Linked DNA regions of Caenorhabditis elegans. The protein of the gene in region 1 purifies or fractionates together with the protein of each later gene. This does not show direct contact. Each region holds a gene or a part of one and is shown on either strand. Other genes may lie near its edges.

What was found.
Region 2: the proteins of tads-1 (region 1) and srsx-3 fractionate together in Caenorhabditis elegans (co-fractionation; one large-scale study listed by BioGRID). This does not show direct contact.

The regions. Positions count from the first base shown.
Region 1 is NC_003279.8:13,383,132-13,387,640, forward strand, and holds tads-1 (Replication termination factor 2), read left to right. Parts: upstream 1-1,620; 5' UTR 1,621-1,702; coding exon 1,703-1,734; intron 1,735-1,981; coding exon 1,982-2,649; intron 2,650-3,617; coding exon 3,618-3,820; 3' UTR 3,821-3,953; downstream 3,954-4,509. Other genes in the region: C01A2.6 (WWE domain-containing protein), read left to right, coding at 324-739, 892-960.
Region 2 is NC_003283.11:7,935,637-7,938,878, forward strand, and holds srsx-3 (G-protein coupled receptors family 1 profile domain-containing protein), read right to left. Parts: upstream 1,617-3,242; coding exon 1,481-1,616; intron 1,390-1,480; coding exon 1,182-1,389; intron 1,138-1,181; coding exon 899-1,137; intron 858-898; coding exon 508-857; downstream 1-507. Other genes in the region: srt-53 (Serpentine Receptor, class T), read right to left, coding at 2,969-3,193, 3,241-3,242.

The DNA.
Region 1 (4,509 bases):
AAACTCAAAAAAATGCCACGTGTCACGCAATGGTTAAGAATGAATTAATTCTTGGAACATGTTTTTTTGATTTTTTGTTGAAAAATCCACACCGTGACTATTAGGCTGAGAAATAGTTGCGAAAGTTGCTTACTTTATTCAATTTCATTCGACAGACTCGCTGGCGCTGGTCATTTAATGTGATAGTGGAGTTAGACATCAGGAAATATATATTGAGTTCTAGTTCAAAAATGCTGATAATGTTTCAAAAAGTAACAGCCTAGGAATTCAAGTAGAAGTATTCAGTCTCCAACTGTTTGAGATTAACATTTAAAACATTTCAGAAGCCACTACCTACGACAACAAAGACACTTCGTCAACCCGGCCGCTAATCTCCGACCACGTCGCTCCAGCCCCCGATAGCGCTTCAGGAGACGTCACGTCAAGAGATACGGAGCATCCTCCTCGCCAGAAGAAATATCTTTCCAGCACCTCAGATCTTGTGAAGCTGCCTCCAAGCAAGGCACAAATTCTTGAAGCTTGGGAAAATGGAGCCGAACCTTGGCAATCTACCTACTCGGAACGATTAGAGGACGAGAAGGACTTCTATTCTGTTTGCGTGTACGATACAAACCCACCCGACGATGAATGGCGCTGGAATGGAAGACTGGACTTCTCGCTTCACGCGGATCCCGATTTCATTCCACCATGGTGCACCGTGTGGACAAAGGAGCAGGAGGACGATCTTTTGAAGAAAGAGGTAAGAGTTATTTATTCTCCCGTAGATTCTTTGCAATTTTTTTTTTTGAAAAAAATATCATCTGAAAATCTAGAAAAACCAAATTACTTTTGGCAAGACTAATGGAGCTTTCTTTTTTAAAAAATATTTTTTTATAATCTGACGTTTTTCAGAGCGATGCCGAATGGGAAGTCCGCGAGCAGAAACGACTGCGCCAAGAGAGACGTGACAGGCTTCTATAAAGCATTAAACATATTATATTCCAGAGATTTTATTCACGTTTTGAATCAATCAACGTTATTCATTTTTCTACACTTGTTCTCGTCATTTTCCGGTTTCCATGTGGTCCCCCGTCTCTCCCATCCAGCTTTATTTATTTCGGTTTTAATTTAAAATTTCATAATTTCAACATAATTTCAAAATTCGATATCACATTTTCTTGTTGATCTAATTTGAACTGTTCACTAATACATTTTGTTTTAAATATAATACCGTGCGTGCGGAATAAATAATAGAAAACTTATTTGATTTTTTTAAAACTTGAGTTGTTAATGTGACTTTTGTTCATCGTAATTCGTTCCAAATTGCAAAGTGAAAAAAAATAAATGTATTGATATATCTTAAATAAACCAAGATATATGGCTCAGGGTAAATAGACATGGTGCATCGAATTAGTCTAATTTTATCTGAATTTTGTATAGTGTTGTTTTTTTTGAAAATTAAAACATTTATTCATTTGTTTTGTTGTTGATAAGTCCCTGAAATTAATTTTTTCTGTGTCTTAAACCGTCTTTTTTCTTCTTCAACAAAACTTATTAAAAATAAACGCTAAACCACTGTCTCCCGTGCGGAGGTATTGCGAAACCGCGCGCCGCACATTGCAAAAGTGGGCGGGGCGTCGTTTCGTCAGTTATTTCTTGCGTTTTCGCTCGGATATTTGTATTTTTCATCGATTTTTCTTGGAATTTTGGAGCACAAATCGCCATGGGAGCCGATGGAGGAACTATTCCAAAGCGGTAAGTGTCTGTTGTCAGGAAAAATGGGCAAAAACCCGAAAAATAAGGTTTTCAATAAAAATATGTGAATTTGTTTAAAAATATGCCTGAAAATGAGTAAAACCGTCTGAGCAAACTCATGCAATGGAGAAATAATTATGTATAATTTAGTTCAAAATATTTACACGTTTGAGTGGGAAAAAATCGGCTAGTTATCAGATTTTTTCCAACAAAAAAGTATATCTTTAAAAAAAATCGATAATTTCAGTTGCGAACTGGTCAAGGAGAGAAAGAAGAAGGAAAAGCTCGACAAACACGTGAAAAACGCCACAAAATGGAGAAACTGTCAACTAACACAGCTTCCACTGAAAAGACCAGTGATTGCTTGTCGATTTGGAAAGCTTTACAACAAGGAAGATGTGATCAACTCGATTTTGAGCAAAACTATCTCGAAATCAGCTTCAGCTTCTCATATCAAAGGCCCAAAGGATTTTGTAGAGCTTAAGCTCACTTTGAATAAAGATTTCAAGCGTGGAGATGTGAAAGGAGACGATTATAATGATGTGAATCAAACTGAATTCATTTGCCCAATCACAAATGTTCCAATGAACGGAATTCAAAGTTTCTTAGTTAATTGGCAGTGTGGATGTGTGTATTCAGAGAAAGCTCAACAAGAAGTTAAATCCTCAAATTGTCATGTTTGTGGAGGACCTTATGATGCCACAAAAATGGTGATTTTGAATCCGGAGCCGGAGCAATTAGAGCTCTACAAGCTGAAATGGGAGGCTGAGAAAGCTGAAAAAGCGGCGGCGAAGAAGGATAAAGCAAAGAAAACAGCTGAGAAGATGGAGGCTGCCGCTAGTTTGGCTGCTGGATCAGGAGGAGAAGCTTCAAGTGTTGCTCCAGGGCCAAGTGGCTCCGGAGTTGGAAAGCATGGTAAGTTTTGGAGAATATATCGAATTTCATGTAAAAAAAATCGTAAAAATGTCGGAGAAAAGCGAAAATCTGCAATTTTGCCGGTCGTAAATCTATTTTTGCAAATTTCGGTAGTTTATTCTCAGTCAAAACCGTTCATAATATACCCAGATTCAAACCCATTTAAAAAACCGTACAAGTCTATATTATGAAAAGTTCTAATTTTGGGCAGATGTAAACCAAGATTGTCTAGATCCAAACTTAATTTGCATAGATTGCAAGTTTGAGTAGATGTAAACCAAATTTGTGCAGATAAATTCACAATATAGGCTTGTACGGTTTCAATTTGGTTTAAATCTGAGTATATTCTGAACGGGTTTACTGAGTTACGTGATTTTTGTTGATCTATGATTGTTTTTAGGTGCAAAACTCCTAAAAATATACATAACTCAGTAAAACCACGGAATAAACGGAAGCTGAAATAGAATTCAAATGAATTTTCGACTGCTTCGATACGGAAACATGACTTTGAGATTTTATCCGAATTGAGTACGTATTCCAAATATTTTACAGGATTTTATCACTAAAAGACTCAAAAAATGGTCCCAAAAGGCTAAAATTCGAAAAAAAAACTTAAATTTCGCTAAATCCCCCTAATTTTGACACTTTTTCCATTACATCTGTCGGAAATTGATTTTTAGTTCATTTTTCACATTCTGGTCGTTTAATACGTGTTTTTGGTGGAAAATGTCTAAGTTTTTGGTGGAAAATGACACAAAAATTAAACATAAGCGTGAAGAAAAACTACTAAAATGCCTAAAATAGTGAAAAAAAAAACCATGTAAAAATGAGTTTCGAGCTTCTGAAAATTGGCGAAATTGGAGATTTTTCGCAATTTTCCGAGATGTAGATACGAAAACCGCCATAAAATTGTTAGAGAAATTCCGAAAAAAGTACCAAATTATACATTTAAACCCCTATTTTTTCAGTGGATCTCAAGAAAAAGCTGGAAATCGCAAAGCTCACCGGTGGCTCGACATCAGAAAAGAAAGCTGAAAAACGAAAAGCAAATACGGATATTCAATCGGATCCTACCACTTCAGACACTTATAAGAAGCTGTTTACAACATGTGAAGCTGCAAAAAATAAGACTGAAGGACATTGGGTCACTTATAATCCACTTTATTATTGATTTTTCTCACATTTTTTTTGCTCGAAATTTTAAATTTTCCGTTTTTCTTTTACCTTTTCTGTACATTTTGTACATTTACTCCATGATTTTTGTTCAATTTCTCGCTAATAATAATCATTCCAAGAATTTTTGATTTTTTTTTGTGTTCAGTTTCAAAGCATTTACTTGGTTTTAACCGCAATTGTCTTTATTTCTGCTTAAATTTCCATTTTTTAGATCGAAAATTAAATTAAAAACTGGAAATTTCTGAAAACTCTAGTTATTTGAAAGATTTTTCGCAAAATTTTCAGATTTTCAGCAATTTTTTCTACCCATGTGTGGATATACGCAGTTCGTGTACTCCCCGTGGAGAACTTTTCCGAGTTTTCAGTTAAAATGCTTGATGTTTGACCATTTATTTTCGCCTATTTTTTTCAGGTTTTGCATTAAAATCGGTATTTTATCCCTATTTTTTTTAATCTTTTATGTGGAAAATCGATTGTTCTTCTGCTGGAAAACTATAGAAATTAAGAATTCCTTGTTTTCAAGAGTTAATAAATTAATTTACATTTAAAATACTATGAATTAACGATTTTAACCTTAATCTCAAAAAAAATCAGCGGGAATTGTTCAAAAATTGAGGAATTTCAGTCAGAAGTTGTGAAATCTTCTCCTCGTGGAGTACACAAGCATAGTAAATCGACACGTGG
Region 2 (3,242 bases), on another chromosome or scaffold:
AAGACACCTGCATGAAAGCACACTTTCTGCTTTGTTGTTCTTGTTATTTTTCCATTACAGCCGATACAGCATTATTTAGAATTACTAAATTTTTCACAATAAACTACAAATTGGCTGAAAAGTTGTACAGCAAAAATTGTAGCAATGGAAATGAGTTGTCCTTCAATTTATAATAACAGAATGAGTATATTTTCGAATATTAATATGTTTTATTTGTTCTGAATTATTAGATTTTTTAGAGACAAAAGATCAAGGAATGTCCCTCAAAAAATATTTGCAAGAGAACTATTTTTTTAAATTATGGGACGTAATATACACTTAAATATTAATAAATTGAAAAACTACAATTTTTTATTTGTGTGCATTATAGAGATAGATAAAACTTTTGCAGTTTGGCTCAATCATCCATCGATGAAATTTTCAAAAAATGCTTTTAAAATATTAAATCGAGCCCGGTTTATTCAGATTTTAGAAATTATGTAAATAAGTAAATAAATTGTAAAGTTTTTATTGTTTGCTTGAATCCATCACAGAGACCGCAGTTGTAACTTTTGAAGTTTTTTCCAACCATCCTTTTGATTTCATGCTTTTCACACATCCCAGGAAACTCCACATCTCTACAAACGCAATTCGATATTCGGATGATCTCCAGAGCATTACATAAAATGGTTGAGTATAGCAGAGAAGTGCGAAGAAAACCATATTGCTTTGGAAAAACACAAGAACAGATCCGGTCATTCCGATTGCAACAAACAAATCGACACCGAGAGTACACATGTACCAAGAGAAAACGAATACAACCACGGAAACTTTCAAACGTTTCATCAGTTTTCTTGTGTCGCTTTTTTGTTTCTTTCCTGAAATATTGATTTTTCTCATGATCTGGTAATTCACATACCTCTAAAATGAAAAGTAATTATTAAGAACAGAAACAGGCAGAGAGTGATTGAATTGAGAGCAACATTAGACATTGACCACCATCTACTGACAACTGGATGAAGACTGATCGGTGGATTACAGAAGATCACCAATTCATCATCCATTTTCACAAAACCCCACGCAACTGTGAATGCTGAATAGACAAAAGGTATGAATAACATCATAGCCGTGTAAGTTGTGTTTTCAATCCGACGGTAGCTGAAAAGAAAACGGTTTTAGGAAGCATGTTCATAAAAACAAACAAAGTGGTGAAGAAGACAATAATGAAAAGATCGACGACCAGCATGAGCATTATTACAGCTTGAGCACAGATAAAGAATATGTAAAGCGATATTGCCGGAAAGCAAATGTTGCGTCTGAGCTGGATTCCAGTGAACAGAAGAACGGCATTTGGTAGTTCGAAGAGCAGACAAAATATGTGGGATACGCTTAGAGCACACTGGATATAATCTAAAAATTATGAACTTCACGAGATGAGAATCTCTTTAAAATAAGAAAGTAAAAATGGCGTTTTATTGTTATTTAAATATTTATTACTTACAAGATTTAGATCGTAATGCAGGTTTGATGTATGTCAGACATAGAAAATTGATATTTCCAAACAGTCCAAGAACATTGAAAACGACGATTTCCGTTGAGATACAAATCTGGTTAATCATTGCCACAGTCGAGCTCATTCCGAAAAATATGTATTCTTATGGTCTTAGAACAAGTTTTTAGCACGTATACCCGGAAATTTGTCTTACCGTTTGTTTAAAAACGATTCGAAATTTGTTCTGTTAGACAATTTGAAATGGTAATATTTGTAAAAAGTTGTGACGAAATGTCAAGAATAGACTACACAACTCGCGATTATCAAATTTGTTAACGTATTCATTGAATGATGTCGCTTTCAATTGAAAAATTGCGTACGAGCATTTTTCAAAACTTACTTGAATTACGCGATAACGAGTCTTGCAGTCAAAAATCTTAGAGATGAGTTCGAATAAAAAAAAATTTCTGCTACTTTATATAGGAACTATTCTCTTTTGTATTGTCTGATAAAAAAAAATCGCCAGACAAATATAATAATCTTCATTTAAAACCTTCCTTTTAGTATTGTGTTAAGGGATTTGGAAAACAAAAGTCTGAGATCTGCTTGAATGCGCGTTGTCACTTCAATTGTATAAGATTGGGAATCTTCAAGGCATATTTTGATTCTAGCTCACACATGAATTCGATATTTGAAAAATGAAAAACGAAAAATGAGTAAAGTAAAGTTTGAGTGCACAATAATTTCACGGGTGCACGGACTATTCTAAATCGACACGTAACTCTATCAACAATGAGTCCAAATTGGTTGTGTTTTCTCACGGTGATGCATGGAGTATTTTCATGCAGGTTCATGTTAATTTGAGACTATTTCATGTTAATTTGAGACTATTTCAAATTTCGTAACTTCACAACATGATTATTTGAACTAGAAACTTGTAATTCCCTATATAAAATGTGCGTTAGGTTTTTTAGGAGCTGACGTGAAATCAGAATATGCAATAGCTTTCTCGACCTGATAAGTTGTTGGAGAAGTTTGGGGGATCAGTTTGGGTAACATAAAAGAAAATATATAGTACTCGGTAATTGGTCAACTTTTCAATCCACTTTTACCCAAAAATATATCATGAATTCATTAAAATTTCTGCAGTACTGCTCGTCATTAAGTACGTAATACTCTAATAGAAGATATGAGACTAGTTTTTTAGGCTTAGTCTACAGTATTCCAATAGTATATAAGCTCTAAACATTTTGTGAATTAAAAAATCCAAGCATTCAGTTCAAATTTTCTATTCAATTTTTCAAGAGCGGTTGAAAAAAACACGATTAGCATGTTTCTATTAATTTGTTAATATAAAATTGTTATCGTATCAGATTTTTTGCATCATCACATAAACAAGGTTCATACAAAAAGCGTCAACAATTTATTCAGTTTTTATACCAGTGAGTGTAAGCCCGTTCATGTCTTCCTGCTTTTTTTCAATACAGTTAACGATTATTACTCGGGATCTTTTTTATTATTATTATTATAGTTATTAATTTTCTGATGCTTCACTTCCACATTATTTGCCTCTCGTATCAGCTGTAGTCTAACTTGATATTCACTTTCATAATTTTTCGTCATTGTAATGTTTCCCAGAGTGTTAACGTTATGGTTCTGATTTGGTACCAACTGGATCAACCGATCGCCACTTTTTCGGATGAGATTTGATGACTTATTTTCCTACAAAACAATTAATTGAACATAAAACACGAAACATTATAGTTTACCT